Linked DNA regions of Pelodiscus sinensis. The protein of the gene in region 1 interacts with the protein of each later gene in a biochemical or structural test. Links are inferred from orthologs where the notes say so. Each region holds a gene or a part of one and is shown on either strand. Other genes may lie near its edges. The genes, in order: KDR, HSPG2 and SHC2.

The links.
Region 2: the proteins of KDR (region 1) and HSPG2 form a complex in vitro, tested with the Homo sapiens proteins (2 studies listed by IntAct). The link is inferred for Pelodiscus sinensis from reciprocal best matches to the Homo sapiens genes KDR and HSPG2.
Region 3: the proteins of KDR (region 1) and SHC2 form a complex in vitro, tested with the Homo sapiens proteins (2 studies listed by BioGRID). The link is inferred for Pelodiscus sinensis from reciprocal best matches to the Homo sapiens genes KDR and SHC2.

What each region holds. Positions count from the first base shown.
Region 1 is NC_134715.1:85,100,862-85,108,405, forward strand, and holds the start of KDR (vascular endothelial growth factor receptor 2), read left to right. Parts: upstream 1-4,526; 5' UTR 4,527-4,691; coding exon 4,692-4,755; intron 4,756-7,544. UniProt on the Homo sapiens protein: Tyrosine-protein kinase that acts as a cell-surface receptor for VEGFA, VEGFC and VEGFD. Plays an essential role in the regulation of angiogenesis, vascular development, vascular permeability, and embryonic hematopoiesis.
Region 2 is NC_134733.1:4,171,515-4,179,246, reverse strand, and holds the start of HSPG2 (basement membrane-specific heparan sulfate proteoglycan core protein), read left to right. Parts: upstream 1-4,663; 5' UTR 4,664-4,822; coding exon 4,823-4,873; intron 4,874-7,732. UniProt on the Homo sapiens protein: Integral component of basement membranes. Component of the glomerular basement membrane (GBM), responsible for the fixed negative electrostatic membrane charge, and which provides a barrier which is both size- and charge-selective.
Region 3 is NC_134729.1:15,712,269-15,719,515, reverse strand, and holds the start of SHC2 (SHC-transforming protein 2), read left to right. Parts: upstream 1-4,239; 5' UTR 4,240-4,816; coding exon 4,817-5,374; intron 5,375-7,247. UniProt on the Homo sapiens protein: Signaling adapter that couples activated growth factor receptors to signaling pathway in neurons. Involved in the signal transduction pathways of neurotrophin-activated Trk receptors in cortical neurons.

The DNA.
Region 1 (7,544 bases):
TTTTTGATTGGGGCCACTCCAAAATTTTGGTAAGTGGTTAATTGTGCTGCACTGTCCCCACCTCCAGCAAAATCTCTCAGCTCCCATTGGCCAGTCAGGGGCTCCTAAATCCACTAAACAAAGTGACCTGATCTGCAGAAGTGTTGAACATTCAAACATCCCAGTAAAGTCAATGGGAATTTTTGATGCTCAGCACCTCTGAAAATCAGACCATTTTTAAATAGGTAAAATGGGGATTTAGTGCCTAAATGTATGTAGGTGAAATCAGTGGGGGTTAGATGTCTAAATATCATGGAGGATCTGAGCCCTGGTGCTTAGCCATACTTATGTTCATGTGCAGTCTGCATTTGTGCTGCCGTGCTGATAGCCTTGCATTCTGTGCTGCTGGTGCTACTGGGTTGAAGTGGCCCATTGGGAAGATATACACAGAGGCCATTTATAGAGCTCCTGGGCTAAAGCAGCCAAGGCTATGAACCTCAGCACCAGTCCATATCTTCCCCAGGATGTTGTTTGAAATAATTAAGAAAACAAAAGGCTGCTTGTCTGCCCTGCTGCTGCTGGCTGTCCGGGCCAGGCTCCTAAAGCCAGGGTCCTGGCTGGCTGCAAAGTGCTGAGGAGTCGTGACTATGTCAGAGGGGAGAGGGAAGGGGGAATGACTCAGGGGAGCTGCCAGCCTCTGGCCTGATCCCTTTCCAAAAGTCTTTGCTGTTTCTTTGTGTCTTGTATTTAATGAGGTTTTGGCCATCACAGCAGCAGATGCATAAACAAAAGCATGTTGGCCCCTGTTTAGCTAAGGGGAGATGTTTGTCCTCCCCCATTTACACATATCTTGCCCATTGATTGTTTTCAAAATACAGGGTTTTCCTAGTTTAGAGCCTGAGGGAGAGAGAAATGGTTTTTATTAAACTACTGCAGGGAAACAGGTTGACTCTCCAGGGAATAACAACAACAACAAAAAACAAAACAAGGTGATTTGTTGGGAGCCTTCCGTAAGTCCCCTCCAAGTCTGACAAATTATCTCATCTGTGCCACTCTATAAAGAGCCTTCTAGTTCCTGTTTTCGGAGGAAGGCAGAATCAGGCAATCTGAGTCTACTGGATCCTTTAGTCATGAGCTCTCACATGAAGGGCTAAGATGTTCTGTTATGGTCAAGATACATTCAGGCTATGTCTACACTACCAGTTTTCTCTGCAAAAAATATGCTAATGAGGGATTCATTTGCATGAGTCACAATCTCATTTGCATATTTTCTGACGATCTGTTTTTGTGCTAGGGTTTTTGCACAAAAACAAGCAGTGAGGACATTTTATTTTTGCGCAAAAACCCCTTTTTCCACAAGATCGGTAAACCTCCTTTTTTGGGGCATAAGGATCTTGTGGAAAAAGGAGTTTTTGCTCAAAGAGAAAATGTTCAAACTGCTTGTTTTTGCGCAAAAACCACAGTGCAAAAACAGATCAGCAGAAAATATGCAATTGAGATTGCGACTCATGCAAATGAGGCCCTCATTAGCATGCTTTTTGCCGAGAAAACTCGTAGTGTAGACGTAGCCTCAGTGCAGCAACGGGGAAGGCACTCAGGAAGCCAACTATAAGCCTCTGCTTCTCTGGCAGTCCATCTACTTTAGTGTCCTGTTTTTTGACAGTGGCCAGTGCCAGATGTTTCAGGGAGAATGAACAGAACAGGCTGATTTATTGAGTGATCCATCCCCTGTCTTCCCATCCCAACTTCTGGCAGTGAGAGGGCTACGGACACCCAGACCATGGCGTTGAGTCCCCGACCATGTTAGCTAATGACCATGCCCTCCATGACCTTATCTAATTCTTTAGCACAGTTTTACTTTTGCCCTTCACAAGATCCTTTGGCAATGAGTTCCACAGGCTGACAGCATTGGGTGAAAAAATACTTCCTTTTTAAAAAAAAATCTTCCGCCTATTAATTTCATTAGGTAATCACCAAGTACCGTAAAATCTCGAATATAATGCACAATTTTCCCCCGTTTTTTTTAGCATCAAAGTCGGGGTGCGCATTATTTATAGGAGGTTTTTAAAAAAGTTTTAAACTCACCCTCAGCAGGCATGAGCTGGGCGGGGCTGGGCTGAGCTGGGGTGGGGTGGGGCCCCGCAGGCGCGAGCTCAGCGTGCTGTCAGCTGGGCGGGGGACACCCCCCCCCAGCAGGCGCAAGCTTGGCATGCGGACAGCTGGGTTGGAGAGGCTCCCCCAGCAGGTGTGAGCTCAGCCTGCATGAGTTCAGCTGGGCAGGGGGACCCCGCAGCAGGCGCGAGCCCCTTCCTTCCTATGCATACCTTAAAATCTCGAGTATAATGAGGGTGCGGATTATAGATAAGAGTTTAGTTTATTCAAGAATTTTGACCTTTAAAAGGCGGATGCTCATTATACATAGGTGCACATTATACTCCAGATTTTACAGTATCTTGTTATGTGAAGAGGTAAATAACACTTCCTTAATTTGTTCTTTACCAGAACATCCAAAAAGCTGTGGCAAAAGTCACCTTCCTCCCCTGCTATTCAGCCCACATCACTGACTTATTTGTTTCCAGGGATGATCACAGTGTGCTAGACACTAGGGATGTAAAGGGTTAAGTGGGTAACTGGTTAACTGGTGGCCTGGCTGGTCTATGCTGAATTGCTGTGGGCCCAGCCCCGCTTGAGCAGTCCCCCAGGCTCCACCATCCATGGCACAGTTGGTTCAGTCATCCCAGCTTGGGCGGAGCAACCCAGGGTGGAGTAGGAGTTACTGTGTGCAGGGGGCTGGTCCAGCCTGGCTGGGCTGGAGAGACCCCCTTGTCTGTGGGATCCTGGTTAACCCGCTCAATATAACGTTTAACCATTTAACTTTTAAAAAGGGATTTTACATCCCTACTGGACACTGTACAAACAGAAAGGAAGGCACAGTTGCTGTCCCCACTACAAAGATTTTACAATTTAAAAAGGGAGACAAAGGCTCTTTAAAGAAACACATAAGCAATGTGCCCAATGTGGTGATTGGCCTTCCCTTGAGTAGCTTGCTTTTTTGTTTGTTTGTTTGTTTGTTTCACAAACATACACCCTGTCTCCAGTTGCCTCTCAATCTTGTCTTGCAAGAAGGGAGCTGGTTAAAAGGTGGAGACAGGAACCATATGCAGTAGTACTATATGTAGACAGGCTGTGACTGCCAGACATTAAAAGTCTATGTAGGACTTGTGGGGGAACAGGAGTGCCTGGGCAGAGAACAAGTGCAGAGGGAGCCCAGTGATACACTTGTCTACACATACTGCTGCATAGATTGATGTCCTGGGATTCGATTTAACGTGTCTAGAAAAGACCTGCTAATTTGATCGCTGATCACGCTCCTGTCGACTCTGATAATCCACTGGACCAAGAAGAGAAAGGGAAGTTGATGAGAGAGTTTTTCCTGTTGAGCCCTCAAAGTAGGGATGCTGTGGTAAGTTGTAGCTGTAGCTATTCATGTAGCTAGACTTGCGTATCTTAGTTTGACATTGCTCGCTAGTCTGGACTTGGCCTATATGAGCCTGCCTGGAAACCCACAAGATCCTATTTGATATGAATAACAGAGACTGGACCAGAGAGGGCACCTTAGGCATTAGGTCTGAAGAGCCCCCACTCTTTACTGCACCACCTCCAAGGACCCAAATGCTTACAATAATTGCTCACTTAGAATTGCAACTTTTTAATCCAAGGCTCTGTACAGAGGGTATTTGCAAGTTTTCCTTTTCCTTCCAGCCCAAGTAAAATATCCTTTCCCTTAGCTGTGATGTCTGAGTAGTTTGGGAACCCCCCAGGGCTAGTGCTTACAAGATCTTGCTGCTGAAGCACATATAGTTTATGTTCAGGAATTGTACTTGAAGCCAGCAGTCTTTAACTGGCTATATGATCCAAATTGATTGTCTCTGGGCTGTTATTCTCTAATAAAGCCTGCTGACTGGGATGGATTAAGCAAAATGCATCAGTGTTTGCAGTGAATCTCATAGACTTTAGGATCAAAAGGGACCATCATGATCTAGTTGCCTGCACATTGCAAGTTGCAAAATTCTCTCCCATTCCTGTAATTAGTGGTGCCGTGGCAATGCTGAAGGTGGAAATCATGGATTTGGGTTGTCATTATTGTTTCAAGCCAGGTAGTGTGGCAGTACCTGCAGCACCCCCATTCCAACACCTATGTCTGTAATTAAACCCCAGGCTCTGAAGTCCTCAAATCATGATGTTAAGACTCTGCAGGATCAGCCAAGTGCTTAAAGAAGCAGATGCACCAGCCCCCTCCATGGTTAAGCCCCACTGAAGGCAGGGGAGGTGAGAGGCCGAGGGTTGGTCACTCGATAAAAGCCCATCTGTCTGAGCGCTGCAAGCTGGGGGCGAAGGGCGCTGCTGGGCCACTACACTGCAGCGGGCTGAGCGGCCACGTGCGCCCAGGCCCCAGGGGAGGCGGGGCGAGGGGAAGGCCGGGGGCGGGCAGGTGGGAGGCACCGCAGGAGTCTGTCTCCTCCCCCGGAATAAAGAAGAGGCGCTGCGGGCGCCGGCTGCGATGCCCTGGCACAGCCCCAGCTCGCGCGGAGCGGCCCTGCCCGCACCCAGGGCGCAGAGACTCGCCCCAGCGGCACCAGGATTAGCGCCCGCCCGCCCGCTCTGCGCACAAGGCGCCGCTGGCAGCAGCCGGAGCCCGCTCCCGGGGGGCGATGGAGGACGCGGTGGCGGTGGCGCTGGCGCTGCTGCTGTGGCTGGGGAGCCCGCCGGCTGCAGGTGAGGGGCGCGCGGGGAGCCCGGGGGGTTCCGGCCCATGGAGCGCAGATGCGGGGAGACCAGGCTGGGCAGGCGCGCCGGGAAGTGCCAGAGCCTCGGGGCAGATGCTCTGATGGGAGCAGCCGGGCGAGGGCTAACCCCGGAGATGCAGCAGGGCCCGATCCTGCTGCCGTGGGAAGCGACGGGAGGTTTGTCCCAGCCCCCAAAGCGAACCGCATGGAGCCAGAACATAGGGACTGGGGCAGGCGGAATAAACCCCCCGGGGAAATCCTGCCCCTGTTGAAGTCAATGGGGGGTTTGGTCTTGGCTTCAGTAGAGGGAGGATTTCACCCTATGCCCCTGGCTTGTGTTGCCTGGTGACCTGGGGACGGTCTTCTTGGGTGAGTTGAGAAAGGGAAGCCAAGGGAGTCACCCCCATTTATAGCTCCAGCTGAGATTTTGCCTACGGAGCTTGTTAAAGGTCTTAGCCTTGGCCATGGCCTCCTCCTTCCCCTGAGGTCTCCAGAGGAAGAGGCTGTTCCTTATTCCTGCTCAGGTGCTGCAAAGGACAGGACATCCTGTGCCTTGCACGAGAGAATAGGCAGGTGCACAGGCCATGGCTTTACCAGGAGAATTTGGAGTGACCATGCAGGCTGATCAGCATGTGTAGAGATGGAGCCATAATTTCATCCCTGCATCTTTTGTAGAAAACTCACCAAGCGCCAGGCAGTTTTGCCAAACTTTCCCATGGCCAAGGCAGATCTTAACGAAAAGGGGGGAATGGGGAAACAAGATGGGGGAAAAGGAGTTTCCTTCTGTCTGTGAGGAGCTAACAATATGCTGTGCAAGACACAAAATACAACTAACTCCTGCCTCTACAGCCTAAACAAGAATGAGTGGAGTGCCTGGAAATAATCACCTGTTCACTATACCGTTGTCTTGGGAATAAGTGGTACAAAATTCTTGAAATTCAACATGATACATTTATGCTATTCTCTTTCTCATTAAAGGAGGCTATTTAGACTGAGACTAAGCCCAGTGATAACAATCATACTGAAATTAATATTTTAGCAGAAATTAAATAAATTGGGATGACTTGGAAGTTAACTAAAATAATGCCTGTGTCTAACACAAAAATAACCTTTTTTGGCTATTCTAATATGGATATTCATATAATTAAAATTATGCTTGTGTTTGGAACTCAAACATTTTGACTATTATAATATGGATATTAATTTAATACCAAACATTTGCATGTTTACACAACAAGTAATACTATTTTATTGATCCTCATATTTGTATATCATGTTTTTTTTGAAGTGCATATGTAAGTTACCAATGTATTTTCTTTTGGAATACTCTCCTTAGAGATATGCATAAGAGTAATTTTAGTTCATGGCATGATGTTTCACCTTGAAGAAAACAATCTAGCCATACAATGGTCAGTTTGACTAAGGCTGAACATTCTTGACTAAATGGAGCTTATTTTACTTTAGTTTTTACGTCTAACAAAGCAACACTGAATGAGAATAAAATCTCAGTTTTAGTATCGAACACTTCTAGGGACTCTTATTTAGCTGTACACTAGTTTTGTTGAAGGCACGCAAATGGGAGGAGGATTTAGTCCAGAAAGATTTAAACCTGTTTGCTGGACGATTAGATTAGATAAATCATTATTTGCAAATCCTATGATAAAGAGTAAGTTATAAATTTGATTTGATTTTCCTTCTTAATTCAAATTTTTACCTTAGTGATGGCTTTCTACAGTAAAGTGCAACAGAAATCAATTATCTGAACCCTATTGTCAAAGAATCTCTGTAGGAAAGGTTTGATAAAAATATGATGAAATTGTGGCGAGATAGTGAAGCCCCTAGCTCTAGGATGACTTTACTGTCAGTGAGGCAGAGCTCCACAGCTGCTTGGCACTACAGCCAGGGCAGAGCTTTGTAGCCACCTGGCTCCACAGCTGGGGCTGGAGCTCTGTGGCTGGGGTGGAGGGATGGGGACAGAGCTCCGCGGCCCAGGCCAGAGCTCCCTGGCTGCTGGGGCTGGAGTTCTGTGGCTGCTGGAGCCAGAATGCAGCAGGAGCTCCATAGCTGGAACCAAGAGCTCTCTGGCTGCCGCTGGGGTCAGAGCTCCCTGGCCAGGGCCAGGCCTGGCTGCTGCTGGGGCCAGGGAGCTCAGCTGGGGCCAGAACTCCCTGCCATGCTGTCTCTCCTCCCCCACCGCACATACACACTCTGGACTCCCGGTTGAGTCGCCGGTGCCCCTTACAGTGTTCCTGCCAGACTGCCCTCTTCCTGGGCTCTATGGTCCAGGAATATCTGTGGTCTAGGATGGACCACGGACGATGCTGAACCAGGGAGTCCTGGTTAAAGGAGGTCCAGTCTGTACCATCGCTGTTCATTTTATTGTGCACGTTCACTCATTTGCTCCTTGTACATCTGAATTTGCATTAAGTACGCCGTGTTGTCTGGCCAAGGCAATGTTTCAGAACTTACTCAGATATGTGTACTCATCCTTTACTGACACAGAATTCCCAAAGGGAGTGAGTATGATAATAAATGGCAAAAACATCTCATTGTGTTCTTTGAAAGGTTGCATGGGCAGGACAGTTACATCAGAACAAATATTGGAAATTATCTGCAAGCTTTAACTGACATGAGTATTCTCCCCGAATGCCGTGGAACCAATCACCTAAATAAGGTTTGATAGAAACAGGTTTTCTTAGGGTTTCAAGCAACAAAGGAGATACATTAGAAAATGCGATAAAGGAAAACAAGACTGGGTCAAATGACCTTGAGTTTATG
Region 2 (7,732 bases), on another chromosome or scaffold:
GTCCTCACGGCAGGACCAAGCACCATCCAGATCAGGGCTACTCAATTTTGGAAGCCTCAGGGGCCACAGTGATACTCACGGCATGTAGCGAGGGCTGCAACTTAATCGTGGTTGTATAGACATGCAAATATATATGCAAATATATGCAAATAGCTTCTTTTATGCTGACAGGCATGAATACAAAGATTAAGGCAAGACTACACAACACGCAGGCCCCGTTTAAGTCACTTCTGCTGGTATTAATACAATGCAAGATTTACCCGATCTCCAACGGAACTTTTAATGAGCAATGACAGTCCAGGAATTTAATGACTAAAACGCATCTCAACAGAAGGCCATTATATCCACAACTTTTTTGTTTTGGCTCCCACCCATGGACTGCACGTTGAGCCCTGCGTAAACCCAAACCGCACCGCGGGCTGCAAACAAATGGGCCGTTGGCTGCATGACCATCCCTGGCAGGTGTCTGTCCAACCTGCTCTTAAATATCTCCAGAGATGGGGATTCCACAACCTCCCCGGGCAATTTATTCCAGTGTTTAACCAGCCAGACAGGCAGGAAGTTTTTCCTAATGCCCAACCTAAACCTCCCTTGCTGCAGTTTAAGCCCATTGCTTCTTGTCCTGTCCTCAGAGGCCAAGGAGAACAATTTTTCTCCCTCCTCCTTGTAACACCCTTTTAGATACTTGAAAACTGCTCTCATGTCCCCGCTCAGTCTGCTCCTTTCCAAACTAAACAAGCCCAATTCCTTCAGCCTTCCCTCATAGCTCATGTCTTCTAGACCTTTCATCATTTTTGTTGCTCTTTTCTGGACCCTCTCCAATTTCTCCATATCTTCCATGAAATGTGCTGCCCAGAACTGGCCACAATACTCCAATTGAGGGCTAATCAGCACAGAGTCGAGCGGAAGAATGACTTCTCGTGTCTTACTCACAACACTCCTGTTAATGCCTCCCAGAATCATGTTTGCTTTTTTTGCAATAGTGTCACCCTGTTGACTCATGTTTAACTTGTGGTCCACTAGGACCCTAAAACCCTTTCTGCCGTTCTCCTTCCTAGGCAGTCACTTCCCATTCTGTGTGTGGGACGGATTGTTCCTTCCTCACTGGAGCACTTTGCATTTGTCCTTATTAAACTTCATCCTGTTTACTTCCGACCATTTCTCCAGTTTGTCCAGATCATTTTGAATTTTGACCCTCTCCTCCAAAGCACTTGCAACCCCTCCCAGCTTGGCATCATCTGCAAAGTGGGGAGCTGCCTTGGCAAGAGGGGGCACCTCTGGGTGCCCAGGGGTGCTGGCTGCCCTACAGCACATGGGACGCTCCATGGAAACCCCGGGCCAATCGCAGCCCAGCTGGAGCACTGGAACGACTCCTCGCGCAGGCTGGGGAAACGCGCTCCGGTCACAGAAGAACCCGGAGCAGTGTGCTGCACCCCCGCCTACCAGCCGCCCCGGTTCCAGTGCCCTGCCCCTCGCGGCGGCAGCCGCTCTGGCCCCTCTGGAAAGTGGCGCCGAAGTCACGCGCAAGGTCCGGTTCTGCGGCACGTCGAGCGCTGGGCCAAGGGGATCGAAGCCCAGAGAGCTCAGCCTCCGAGCTGCCGAACCATCCCAGCTTCACCCCACTGCTCAGACCAGCTGGGGGGGGGAGCCTCTGGTGAGCCTGGCACCCTGCCTGCAAGGCCCAAGGCTCCCCTGCTGACACAGGCCAGGGCCGGACCTGGGCAATGTGTTTCCCCAGAGACACGCAGGCTGAGGCACATTGCAGGGCTGCTCTCTGGGCCGGGCAGGACAGGCCTTGGGGTCCGGGGCCAGAGCTGGTGCTGGGGGGCAGAGGAGAGGGGCTGTGAGGCAGGGGTCTCACGCCTGTGGGGGACTGGCAGCAGCCAGCGCTCCTGGGCCGGATTTGTCTCCCCCACGATGGGGCAGTGTCGCCCCATCGGGCCCTGGGGAGGGCGGCTGCGCAGGCCTGGCCTTGCTGCTAATCAGGCTGGGCTTCCCCTGCCTGGAGCAAAGGAACTTGTGGAACAATTGGGGGAAGCGCAGGACGAGTGAGTCACAGGAACCCAGAGAAGGTCGCGTCCGGCCAGGCCTGCTGGGACCAGGACAGCCCCCCGGCTCGGCAGAGTGCTCCACAGGGCACGGGGCCTCCCTGGGCCCTGACTGCACCCCTGGGCGCAGGCACAGCCCTGCCACTGCCAAGCGCCCTTAGCTCTGGCTCGGAGGAGCGGGGGGGGGGGGGGGAGGAGGAGGGGTCTGGCTTCTACGGCTGCTCCTGCAGTTTCCCTCCAGGCCCCCCTCCTCTGCCCCCCGCAGTCCCTCATGCAGAAAGTCCCCAGTTAATCATTGATGGCACCTGGAGCCCTGCAGGTCCCAGGGTGGTGCACGGAGGCCCCTCCCAGCCCGGGGGGGGGGGGTGAGCTGGGCATGCTGGGCAGGCGCTGCTGGGCGGGATGGGGGCTGCGAGACAGCAGCCGAGTCACTGGCCTTTTCGGAGATGGATAAAGTAATTATAATCCCCCCCACGAGACGATATCCTCCATCCCCTCCCCCACTCCTGGCCCATCCCCAGGGTAGGAGCCAGGAGCTGTGTGGCTGCCTGGGCCCTGCAGGCTCATGCCCCTCCCTGCTGCGTCCCAGAGGCAGCAGTAACCCCAGAAACATGAGGGGGGTCCTGGCTGGGCTCCCCTGCTCTGCGGGTTGCACTGGGGAGAGACAGGCAGGCCAGAGACAGCGTCACATGCCAACCCGATGGGCTCCAGTGCCCCACCCCCAGGCAGCGCGGGGGGCAGGAGGCTGCAAAGCCACCTCTGCGTTTTGTAGCAAACCGGCGGGGCTCCAGCTGGTCCCGTCCGCCCAGTGCCCGGTGCTGCCTGCCACGCCCAGGCCTGCAGCCCTCCTCAGTTCTAATGCCTGGCCTGGCGAGGTTTGCTCTGGGCTGTGGGCTTGCGGGCACCTCATCCCCCTCCCCAGAGCCGCCAGGAGGTGACCGTCCTGATCCAAGGTGGGGCCGGGGGCCCGTAGGGGGAGCTGCCCACTCCCTGACGGTAACGCACAGGCTGTGTCTAGACTGGCAAGTTTTTCCGGAAAATCAGCCGCTTTTCCGGAAAACTTGCCAGCTGTCTACACTGGCCGCTTGAATTTCCGGAAAAGCACTGACGATCTCATGTAAAATCATCAGCGCTTTTCCGAAAAAACTATGCTGCTCCCGTTCGGGCAAAAGTCTTTTTCTGAAAGGGCCAGTGTAGACAGCACAGGACTGTTTTCCACAAAAAAGCCCCGATCGCGAAAATGGCGAGTGGAGCTTTTTTGTGGAAAAGCGCGTCTAGATTGGCCACGGACGCTTTTCTGCAAAAAGTGCTTTTCCGGAAAAGCGTCCTGCCAATCTAGACGCGCTTTTCCAAAAATGCTTTTAACGGAAAACTTGTCTATTAAAAGCATTTCCGGAAAATTATGCCAGTGTAGACGTAGCCACAAGGTGCCCGTAAGAGAAGAGCCTACTACAGGGGCCAGCTGATGGGGTGAGCTCCTTTAGCGTAAGCTGGAGCAGCCCAGACTCGCAGTGCTGGAAGCCTCCCGCTCAGTCTCCCGCTGTGGCTCCTTTAGGGCAAGTCTCCCAGCATCCCCTGGCAATCAGATCCCGGTCCCAGTGCAGAGGAGAACCCTGCTGGGGGTGTCTGCCCACCCCCCAGCCTGGCACCCGCGTGGCGTATCTCATCCCTGCTCTGCGGCTCGCTAACCCAGCAGCTGCGCTGCACAGAGCCCCGGCAGGGTGTGAGTTGCAGGCCCGGGGAGGAAGCCATGGGAAACCAGCCAGTCGCAGTGAGAAAGGGTGCCCCCGGGAAACGAAGAGTGCGCGCCGTGGCCAGCTGTGCATGCTGCTTGCTTTGCCTGCTGCACCCCGCCCTAGCCTGGCCCTCGCCCCGGCTCCATGCACCTCCACCACGCTCAGCGAAGCAGGATCAGGAACTGCATCCTGCAGTCAGTCCTGCGCCGATCCTGCCATCAGGGGCCAATTCTAGGGGGGGGATAGGGGTCGGGGCCCTGTCCCCACCGGGTCAGCGAGGAAACCCGCCCACGCTGCTTTAAAGGGACTCGGCAAGAACGTGCCCCACACGTCAGCTGAGCAGACTGTCTGGACCGGGGCCCCTGGCTGCGTCCGCGTCTGCTGGGCAGGACACAAAGGGCAGGCCGGGCAGAGCGGTCAAGCCCCGGAGAGGGCAGGCAGCACGTCCGGTTGTTGCGAGTCCTTCGGTTGTAGGCCGTGGGGGTGGGTCACACACAGCAGGACACCGCGGGGCCTGCACACCTGAGGCCGGCCCCCAAGGCCTTGTGTTCTGCATCTGTGCAGCGCTGGGCGCCCAGGGGCGGCGGGGGGGGGGGGGGGGGCTGCAGCCGGCTCAGTCACTGACTAGTGGCAGAGTTTGCCCTGTGCCCCCTGCCTGGAGCCCTTGCGCCCAGCTGTGACCGCCGGGCTAGGAACTGGCTGAACAGCCCCAGCGAGATTCCCCCGATCCCAGGACTCCTGGAGCTGGGGGTTGAGGCGCAAGGCAAGCGATGGCCACGGAGCGGGCCCGGTCTGGTGTCCAGGGGGCCCCTCCCTGCTCAGGACGTGCCCCCTCCCCCCGCCGCGGCGCCCAGCTCCCTTCCGGAGTCGGGACTCCAGGCCGGGTTTGGGCGGCAGCCGGGAGGGAGCCGAGCTCGGGGCGCTGCTGGGACGGGGCAGCGCAGCGAAGTTGCCAGTGGCCGGAGCGGGCGCCCGAGCAGACAAAGGGCGGCGGGTCGCGGGCAGGACGCGCTGGGGAGCCGCGCCCGGAGCCGGAGCATGGGGCTGGGGGCGCCCTGCGCGCTGCTGCTGCTGGCGGCGCTGCTGCCGGTAAGTCCGGGCGGGGGCAGTGGGCGGCCGGGGCCCGCGGGGCTGGCGCGGGGCGCGGAACGTGGCTGCCCCGGCCCCGCGCAGCAGCAGCCCCGGCTCCGTGGAGCGGACGCGGCAAAGACCAGCCGCCTTAAAATAAAGCTCCCCCCACCCCCGGGTCCCGGGGCGCGGCTCCCCGGCGAGGGCCAGAGCAGCCCGGCCCGGGGGGCTGGGACACTCGGGGCACCTCCCGTGCGCACGTGGCTTGGGCCGGGGGAGGGGCACCCAAGGTGCCAGCCTGCCCCGGGCGAGCCCTGAGCGCCGCGGCTCAGCCCGGGTCAGGCGCGATCCCGGCTGCGCCCCGCTCCCTCCCCCCTTCCGACCAGCCGGCCTGCGCTGGGTGAGCGCTGCAAGGCGCTGGCTGGCCCTGCACGCGTCCTGCTGCCACCAGGCAAGTCTGAGGAGCAGGGAAGCCAGCGTGGGGGAAAGAGCCGGGAGGGTTTTTGGCCCCTTGGCAAGAGCTAGCTCCTGGTGGTGCCCCCTGCTGCTGCCACTGCTGGGTGTGGGGCTCAGTAGACACTGCACCCACTGGGCACCTCTGTCATTGCTAGCTATGTGGCAGAATCTACAGTGCACCCCTTCGGTACTGCCGGTACTGCCAGGTTCAGGGCTGGGTACTGCCGGGTGTGGGGCTCTCACTGCACCTTCTTCCCACCGCTACCAGTGCGGCATTGCTGGGTGTGGGACTCAGTAGACACTCCACCCATTGGGCACTGCTACCAGTACAGCATTGCCAGGTACGGGGCTGGTTAGACACTGCACCCATTGGGCACTGCTACCAGTACAGCATTGCCAGGTACGGGGCTGGCTAGACACTGCACCCATTGGGCACTGCTACCAGTACAGCATTGCCAGGTACGGGGCTGGCTAGATACTGCACCCATTGGGCACTGCTACCAGTATAGCATTGCCAGGTACGTGGCTGACTAGATACTGCACCCATTGGGCACTGCTACCAGTACAGCATTGCCAGGTACGGGGCTGGCTAGATACTGCACCCATTGGGCACTGCTACCAGTACAGCATTGCCAGGTATGGGGCTGGCTAGACACTGAACCCATTGGGCACTGCTACCAGTACAGCATTGCCAGGTATGGGGCTGGCTAGACACTGCACCCATTGGGCACTGCTACCAGTACAGCATTGCCAGGTACGGGGCTGGCTAGATACTGCACCCATTGGGCACTGCTACCAGTACAGCATTGCCAGGTACGGGGCTGGCTAGATACTGCACCCATTGGGCACTGCTACCAGTACAGCATTGCCAGGTATGGGGCTGGCTAGACACTGCACCCATCTGGCATTACTGATGCTGTTCAGTCCTGACTTGCCACCTCTGCTATCCCAGCCCTGGACCCCTCAGTCCTGGTGACCCTCCGCCCCCACCCAGAGGCCTCGGCTATCCCTATCCTGGCGCCAATTGAAGCTCTCCAGTGCCGGGGAGCGGGGGGCTCTGGGGCTGTTCCACAGTCTGTCCTGCCTGCTCTCCGCCCACGCGGCCTGCGCACAGCGCTGCGTGGGGAACAATGGGTAGCTCTGTGTCGGCGCGGCCGCAGGCCCTGAGAACATGCAGGCAGCCTGGGAGACTCTTCAGCCTTGCCAGGAGCCCGTCCCTCCAGCTTGACCCTCTGAGGGCGTGGGGGCCTCCCATCCAGGGCAGCTTAGGGGAGGGGTGAAGGCTGGAGCCCTGGCCGGGCACTGGACATGGTGCCCGGAGTGGCCTGGCTCTGTGTGGCCCCAGGCAGGGCATTGGCAGGGCGCAGAGGCCACTTGGACCACAGCGGAGCAGTGCATGCTGGGTAGTGAGAAGGGCCTGGCTACCCAAGCGGATCCAGGAGGGGCTGGTCCCCTGGTCTCCCCATCCCATGGCGCAGGGGGAGACGGGGACTTGCCAGTCAGTGACGCTGTGAATAGAACCCAGGAGTCCTGGCTGTGGGCTGGGCTGGGCTGCACTTTCTGGGGTGCAGGAAGCAGGAGCTGGGCTGGCCAGGGGCTCCTGGGGCCAGCGATTGTGAATGTGCCGGGGTGGGTGGAGGGATCCCCATGGCTTGGGGGCCGTGTGTGCTGGGCTGGAAGGGGACCCAGGAAGGGGCTTGGAGGGTCATAGTCACCAACAGCAGAGAGTGAATGGGAGGGGGGTCCTGTGAGTGGCAGATTCCCCCCTCCCATCCCCCCACACCTGCCCAGGCTTGTTCTCCAAGCAGAGTGTCCACAGCAGGTGGGGAGGGGCCTGGGGCTGGGGGAGGAGGCAGAGGAAGTGAGGGGAGGGGAGGCAGGATTGTAAACAAGGCTGGAAATAGAACAGGGATTGAGTGACTCTGCTGTAGTATTTATACAGAGCAGGAATCTCTCCCTGAGCCCGGCTTGCTCACCCGGTGCCCTCGGCTGGGACCAGGCAACGCGCTTGGTCGGCCGTGCCCTGGGATATGTGCCGCCTTCTTCGAGAAGCTAAAGCCGGGGCCAGGGGGCTCTTCCAGTCTCTAACCTAGAGCACGGCAGGGGAGCTGCCTGGAGGTGCCAGCCCTGTGCCCAGGGCACGTCTACCCCCCTGCGCTGCCTCCTCCCTTGGGAATCTCTCCTGAGCTGAGGTTAGAGATGTAGGGCTGGTCCTACCACTGCAGGGGACTGGGAAGCCCAGGCTCACAGTGCAGGGGGCATCCGACCAGGGGCTGCGGAGCCGGGAAAGCTGTTCCTGAGCTGCGCCAGTGGAGTCCTGTGGAGATGGAAATGGCTGTGGGGGCAGCAGAAAGACTCTGAGGCCTGGTCCGCCCTGCAGCCTTGCTCCCAGCAATGTGAGTGCCCCAAAGCACCGACATCGGC
Region 3 (7,247 bases), on another chromosome or scaffold:
GCAATCGCCCTGCCCCTGCGCAGGGGAGTCGCCGGGTCTGGCTGGACGCATTCCTGGAGGTTTCATCGCACGACAGAATCTTCCGTTGGAGAGTCTGCGGTGCCTGGGGAGTCCAGGCCGGCCCTGGAGGCTGGTGACCCTGCGGCCCGGCCGAGCCGACGGCCCTGCCACGGTTCTGTGCGGGAGCAGCTTATTCCCACGGGCCCTGGGAGCCAGGCCCCGCTTGGCCAGTCCCCGTGAATCACACTCCCTGGGCCCAGAGGTGAGAGCAGCTGGCTGAGGGCGCCCAGGCCTGACCCTCTCCCCCTCCCCCCGTGCCCTTTAGGGAGACCGGGGGGGTTGGCCTCCCCCCATTCCGACTGCTGCTGTTTGTGGCTTGCTGCTCCCCGCCCATCACTGTCGGGGGGGGGGCGAGGAAAGTGCCCGGCGCCCCCGCCTGGTGCGGGGAGGGGGCAGAGCAGCCAGGGACCCCCGCCGTGGGCATTGCTCTGCTCCCGGACAGTGGCGGAAGGGGGCAGCAAGTAGCAAGCCATCAGTAGGAACTGGGGGAGGGCTTCAGCCCCCTGGCCTCCCTTGAGGGTCCCCTGGTTCCCTTGCACTCCTCCCCAGCCCCCTGCCCTGAGCCCCCCATGCTCCCCGCCCCGATTCCTGCCCCCCTCCACTCACCTCCCAACCCTCGGCCCTGGGCCCCTCCTGACTCCTGCACCCTCCACATTCCCCCTCTGTCCTGACCCACATCCACCCCCCAAACCCCTGTCCTGAGCCCCCCACATGCCACTCCACACTTGAGTTTCTTACAGGTGCTGTGATATCACACACCCCAAGCCCTGCTCTGAGCCCCCCGCGGGGGAGCAATACAACAGTACCTGTAAGTTACTGTCACCCCCAGCTAAGCCTCTCTGCACCTCTGCCTCTGCTCGAAGCAGGCAACAAGCTAAGGGTTACTCCATGCAGGCTGGAACATGGCAAGGACTGAATGGCAGCAGGACAACACTGCAAAACAGTTTACGAGAGGAAGTCAGCTAGAAGAAGCAGCTTCAAATGCAGCAGTGCCTACTCCATGTCCCTGGGCTTTCCGTGGAGGTCTTCCAGCCAAGTCCTGATCTCGCTTAGCTAACAGACACGGAGGAAAACAGAGTCAGCTGCACACTAGCAAATGCCTGAACGGATCTGGAATCACTTCTAGCAGAGCATATGACCCCTTCCCCCACACCCCGACTCAACCCTTTGAAGCACATTTGGAGCTTTAAAGAACATCAGAGCCCTTCTCCCTTCCAGGCTTTGGAGGTTGGTTAAGAAAAGAAAACAACTAGAACCAAGGAGAGAGAAGCATTTCTTAATATGGCAACAGCAAATGTAATTCTATTACCTTGATTTATTGATCGCACTCAGAGCAATTACTGGCTTTCGTCCCATCACCTGCCTGGAAGAGAGAGAAAGAGGCAGAGAGGAGAAGCAGAAAACAGAGACGCTGGCACATGCAATGTGGAGTTTGAAAACAAGGCTTTGATTCTTAATTCATGTGTCATTAGCGATATCATCTATCTGCTCCCCCCACGCCTCTTTCTTGGCGGGGGAGGGGAGTTAGCGAGCCTAGCAGGTTCTGTCGGTTGCCTGTCTCCCTTTCATCATCGTCTGCAGAGGAAGCTCCTAGGTGGATTGGGAAAATAATTAGATTTCAATTTGTTTAAGGGGTGGCACCATATGGCCAAATTGGAACCAAAACACGGGCTCGGTGACACCCACCGCTTCACAGAGCCCCAGGCCACGGGGACGTGTGCGTGACGCCAGCTGGAAACAGCTTTGTGAAAGAGGTAAACATCCCTCTGCCAGGCAAACAGGGCATCAGAGCACCATTGCTGGAGAGTGACAGCGAATAGGAATGAAAGTGACTCGTCTGTTTTCACGCCCTCCCCCACACCCTGTGCAAAGACTGGACAGGCTTGTGAGGAAGAGGCTTGGGAAATCTAGGTTCAGTTCCCAGTTCTGCCACAGAAGACCTGCATGACCTTGGGCAAGTCACTTAATTTCTCTGTTTCTTGGTTGCCCGTTCATACCATGGGGATATCACTTCCTCACATCTCATGGCTGGTGTGAAGCTAAATTCATCAGTGTATTTAAGATGCATGAACACTGCGGTGACGGGAAGCAGGGGAAATTGCCTTTGTAGTGCGCTAGCCAGCGGAGAGCTGTATTCCATCCGAAATGGAGAGAGAGTGTTGGATTTGCAAATGAATTCCAGTTCCGCTGTCTCCCTTTGTAACCGGGCTTCGAAGTGCTCTTGTGGCACTTTCCAATCCATGGCTGAAGGTCCAGGGAGGCCGACGTGTTCCCCCACTGGTTTGTGTCTGCGCTGGTCAAAAAGGCGACCACGACATTAGGGACCATCAGCAGAGGGGTAGAAAACAAAACTGAAAAGATCACAGTGCCGCTCTGTGAATCCATCCTGTGCCCAGCCCTGGCGTACTGGTTTATGTGCGTTACCGTCCCTGATGTCTGAGCTGTGTCCCTGTGCCGGGGCGTCTGCTCTGGCCCTTTAAGGGCTAAAACCCAGCCCTGGGAGAAGGCTGAGGGGGTGGAGCCCACAGCTGGGGCAGGTACAGCCAATGAGGGCCCAGCTGGTGCTGTATAAATAAGGGCTCCTGGAGGCAGGAGACAGACTCCTGGTTGCTCCACTTGGGTCTTGGATGCTGGGGAAATGAGAGGCCTGGCCTGGCTCGGCTCTTGGGCTGCAGGGCCTGAGGGGATTAGGGCTGCTAGGTGGCAGCAGGTCCACCCGCCCTTACCTATGATGAGTGGCTGTTTCAGGCTGCAGTTCCCCTGAGGCAGGGGTGTGATGATGCCTGGCAGTGGGTCACTGAGGCAAGGTGGGTGTGGGGGAATTGGGGGTCCTGAGGGAGGGGAGGACCCAGAGAGCAGGGGCACTGACCTAGGCCAGTACTAGGAGGGAAGGGCCAAGGGGCTGAACGGCAGCAGACCTGTGCCAGAGACTGGGATCCTGACCAGCAGAGGGCGCTCTGATGCAGGGAGCTGGTTCCCTGCCTGGCCAGAGGGAGGCGCTGGTGAGCGCGTGGCCCTTTGTCCTCTAGTGCAGAGCCCGTCGGATTTGGCCCAGAACCATGCTAGTGACTCGACTAGTTGCCGTCTCTTCTATCAGAGGCAGCAAGGGGGGAGCAGGAGCCGGTGCTGGGGGGAGCTTGCTGAAAAAGTGGCTCCCCCCAGCACTGTCTCTGTGGGGGGTAGCAGGGGAAAGGGGGCGAGTGGGGCTGAGCAGTCCTGGCTCAGGCTGGGTCCCCGATGCTGCGGCTCTGCTTTGTAACCAGCGTAAGAGCCTGGCGGTTTAGTGCAGCGGAGAAGCAGCGCTGTGGCGAATCCCCTTATCGACTGGTCGATGGACATGCCAGCGATTGGCTTGCTAAGCGCTACTGACATCCCCGTGCTGGCGCGTGTCACGTCCGTGGCTGGGCGGGCGAGGGAGCCCCTGTGGCTGTGGCTAGACCCTGCGACGGTGTCGCTCGGGTGGGTGTGTGGGCAGCCGGCGACGGGAGGCTGCCGTGGGGAACTGCCATCTCCCAGGAGACACGTGGGGCCGAATTCTCTAGCGGTGCCCCCTGACGGTGCTGGGTGGCACCCGTGGGCCCCAGCAAGAGGCTCGTTCCCCACAGAGGTCGGGGTCCATCCCAGACACTTAACAGAAAAAGCCCAGGCAAGGCCCAAGCCGTTCGTGGCAGCTCCTCCAGGTGGGTGAGCCGCTGAGCAGGCGAAGGGGCCCACAGTGAGCCGGTTGCACGGGATGTAACTGGGGGCAGAATCTGACCCACAGCTGTCCTGACATTATCTCGTCAATTGCTGCAAAATGCCGTCAGTGGCTGATTCATTCTCTAGTCCCTTCCCTACTGGCTGGAGAACTAGTGCCTGTCCGGTCCCTGGCTGGTTGGGGGGGGCCCCTCTCCCAGGTCCCTGGCTGGTTGGGGGGGGGGCCCTCTCCCAGGTCCCTGGCTGGTTGGGGGGGGGCCCTCTCCCAGGTCCCTGGCTGGTTGGGGGGGGGGGCCCTCTCCCAGGTCCCTGGCTGGTTGGGGGGAGCCCCTCTCCCAGGTCCCTGGCTGGTTGGGGGGGGGGCCCTCTCCCAGGTCCCTGGCTGGTTGGGGGGGGGCCCTCTCCCAGGTCCCCACGGCTTGGTAACATTCTCTCGAGCTCATCCACAAACGGCTGGGCTCCTGCACGAAGCGCCAGGTGACCGTCTCTGGCGAGCGACCTGCAGGAGGTCGGACTAGCTGATTGGAACAGTCCGTCGGGTTTCATGAAGCGGCTCTATAATCCCTGGGGGTGGGCTCCCCGTTCCTTCCCCCTCCTGCGGGCTCCGGGGGGTCCCGTTGCTTGGCAGAGACAAGGGGGTGCAGGGGAAGGCCATCAGGCTAGCTTGCTAGTGCCGGTGGCTGGCGAGCCCCAGCCCTGGCAGGGTCCCTGGGTGGGAGGGGAAGCTGGAAGACGAAGCCCGTTACCCCAGGACCTGCCGAGCGGGCAGAGCCACCCCCAGAGGCTGCGTGCGACAGGGACTCCTCCCTCGGCCTGTTGGCCGACTGCTCTGCCTCTGTCCAGTGCTGACAGATGCCGTGTGCGGCGGGGGGAGCCGAGCCGGCCAGGCCTGCGGCAGCACTGCTGCTGAGCAATAGCATCATGACATCATTGTGTGAGCGGAGCCTCCCCCGGGAGGCGGGGGGTGGGGGCCGGAGGGGCAGGCCAGCGAGCGGGCGCGGCGCAGAGCACGCCCGGCCGGCACTCTAAAAGCACTTAGCCAGGCAGGCAGCGGCAGGGCATGCTCCCGGAGCCCAAGTATGGCCGCTTTCGCAATGGCTCAGTGACCCCCTCGGAGGACCCAGCCATGAGCAGCCAGGTGGCGGCCGCCGCCCCGGCCCCCTCGGCGCCTGCCGCCCTGGCACAGCCTTGCCCGCCGCTGGGCGACGCCCGCTTGCCGGAGGAGCAGGAGCCCGGGACCACCTTCTGCATGCTCATCCCCAGGATCCCCCAGTGGAAGTTCTCCAGCCCCTCCGGCTTCCTGAGCCGCAGCCCCTCCAGCGCCAGCAAGGACCTGTCGGCCCCGGCCAAGCCGGGGGGCCCCGGAGAGGCTGGGGGGCCCTCCTCCGGCCTGGCCGCTGTCCTGAGCGCCTGCGAGCCGGTCTGCCACTCTCCCTGCTCCCTGCAGGTGATGAGCCGGTTCCGAGGCGGGGGCGGCAGGAAGGCGGCTCGGGTCGAGGGGGTCAAGCTGGCCGGCGAGGAATGGAACCGGAAAGGCAGCTTCATCAACAAGCCGGCGCAAGGCTGGCTCCATCCGGACGAGCGGGTCCTGGGACCGGGGGTCTCCTACATCGTCAGGGTAAGCCTGTTTCTCCAGCCTCCCCGCCCCTCGGGCCCACCTGGCTCTGGCTCCCGCGCTGAGCCAGCGGGCGCTGAACGGGGGCTGCGCTGCCCGGGCGCCTCTCGCTAGGAGCTGGCAGCTGGGAAGGGGCCAGGTGCCCCCGGCCATGGGGGGAGGGAGGTTTGGGGGCTTCCCCTGCTTGATCCCCAGAGTCGCGAGGGTCTCGCTCCTTCAAGTTCTCTTTGTTCAAGGCCCCACAGCCCAGCTGTCACCCGGCCTGGGGAGGGGTTGGTGTTGCATCGCCAAAGGCGGCCGCCGCTCCGCCCCGTCAGCTGGGACTTATCTACGGGCTGAGCCCTTTGGGGGAAACCTGGCCCCGGCCGGCCAATTGGCCCTGGTTTAAAACCCGCAGCACTGAGCCCTCGTCCTTCGCTGGGCAGGGGTCTCCAGGCACAACTTGATGAACTGAGTCCTAGAATTGGGGGGTGGGGTATTAACGCCTCCCCGGAGCCAGGAATGGAGAAACTGAGGCACAAAGCAGGGAGGGTTGCACAGTGGAACTGGGGTGAAGCCAGGAGCAGAGCCCAGCTCCCCGACTCCCAGGCCAGCATCAGCCACGGTCCCCCGGGCTCCTGTTCTCCTTCAGGCTGGCTTGACACCACAGCGTTGACTTCGGCCGAGCTGCTGGTCAGGGCAGAGTCTGCCTTCAAGTGTCTCCAAAGTTGTGTGGGCGGCTTGGCTGAGGGACGAGGGCCCAGGGGACTTGGGGAGCTGGGTTCGTTTCCCTGCTCCGCTACAGACTCCAGGGGTGAGTCGCTTAGTTTAGCTTTGCCTCAGTTTCCCTGGCTGTACGTGGTGGGGAGGGGAGGGGGTAATAGCCCCGCCTTCCAGGGGATTGTGAGAACTCCCTCGGAGGTGGGGAGGGGTTCAGCTACCATGGTGATGGGCTGGTTTGAGCTTTGGTTTCCAAAGGGCTCTGCCTTGTATCATTTCTGCCCCCCCACCCGCCCCAGGAAGCACTGTGGGGCGGTGACACCAGTGAGACCCCCCACGCCCTGGGACTGCAGGTCTTAACACTGAGGCCTGCGTGTGGCTTGAGGGGCCGGGGGTGCGTGTCCCACTGGGCCTGCGGCTGGGTCCTGACACGACGACTCTGATTTCAGGGCCCGGGGTGCTGGGAGCCAGGGGGAGCCTGCCCGGCCCGTGGGCGAAAGAGGCCCGGCGGGGCTGGCCGAGGCGGGAGCCATCTCCCCCTCGCGCGCCCGGGTGTGACCGCTGACCCCGCCGCGGGCAGAATCGGGCTGGAGGGGTTGTTTAGAAAGGAGCCAGATCTCCCCCACCACCTGAAAAGCACGCGGCCCCCCAGCAGGGTCTGAGGCATCTGGCCTGTCCATGCTCCGGCAGCCTTGTTTGCCCGGCTCCCAGCGTATATTCCCCAAGGGCCTCCCACCGCTGCTGGGCGCCTCACGCCCGGCTCCCGCTGCCGGGGGGCTGAGAGCGGCAAACGACGGGGCTTCCCTCCCCAGCCTGCTGGGCCCCCAGAACGGTGCACGCCCGGGCCCAGGCTCTAAGGTGTTCAGGCAGGTCGGGCTCTGGAGCCACCCGACCCTGGTGTGAGCTCCGTGGCCAGCCCGAGTCTCCGCCTGAGCCCTACTGCTGCTATTTCAGTGCCCGTGCGGAACTCGCGTGCGCCTGCCCAGCCAGCGCAAAGCCCGCGGGAGAGGCGAGAGCGCCCGGCGACGCGCGCAGGGTCGGGGCCAGCACATGCGAACGCGTCGAGACGGCAGAAGGCCGGGGCTGGGAAGGTCGGTCTCCAGCTGGGAGGGTCTGTTGCCACGGCACAAGGGATCTTTCTGGACAGGCCTGGGGCGGAGGACTGGGGCCCGCCCAG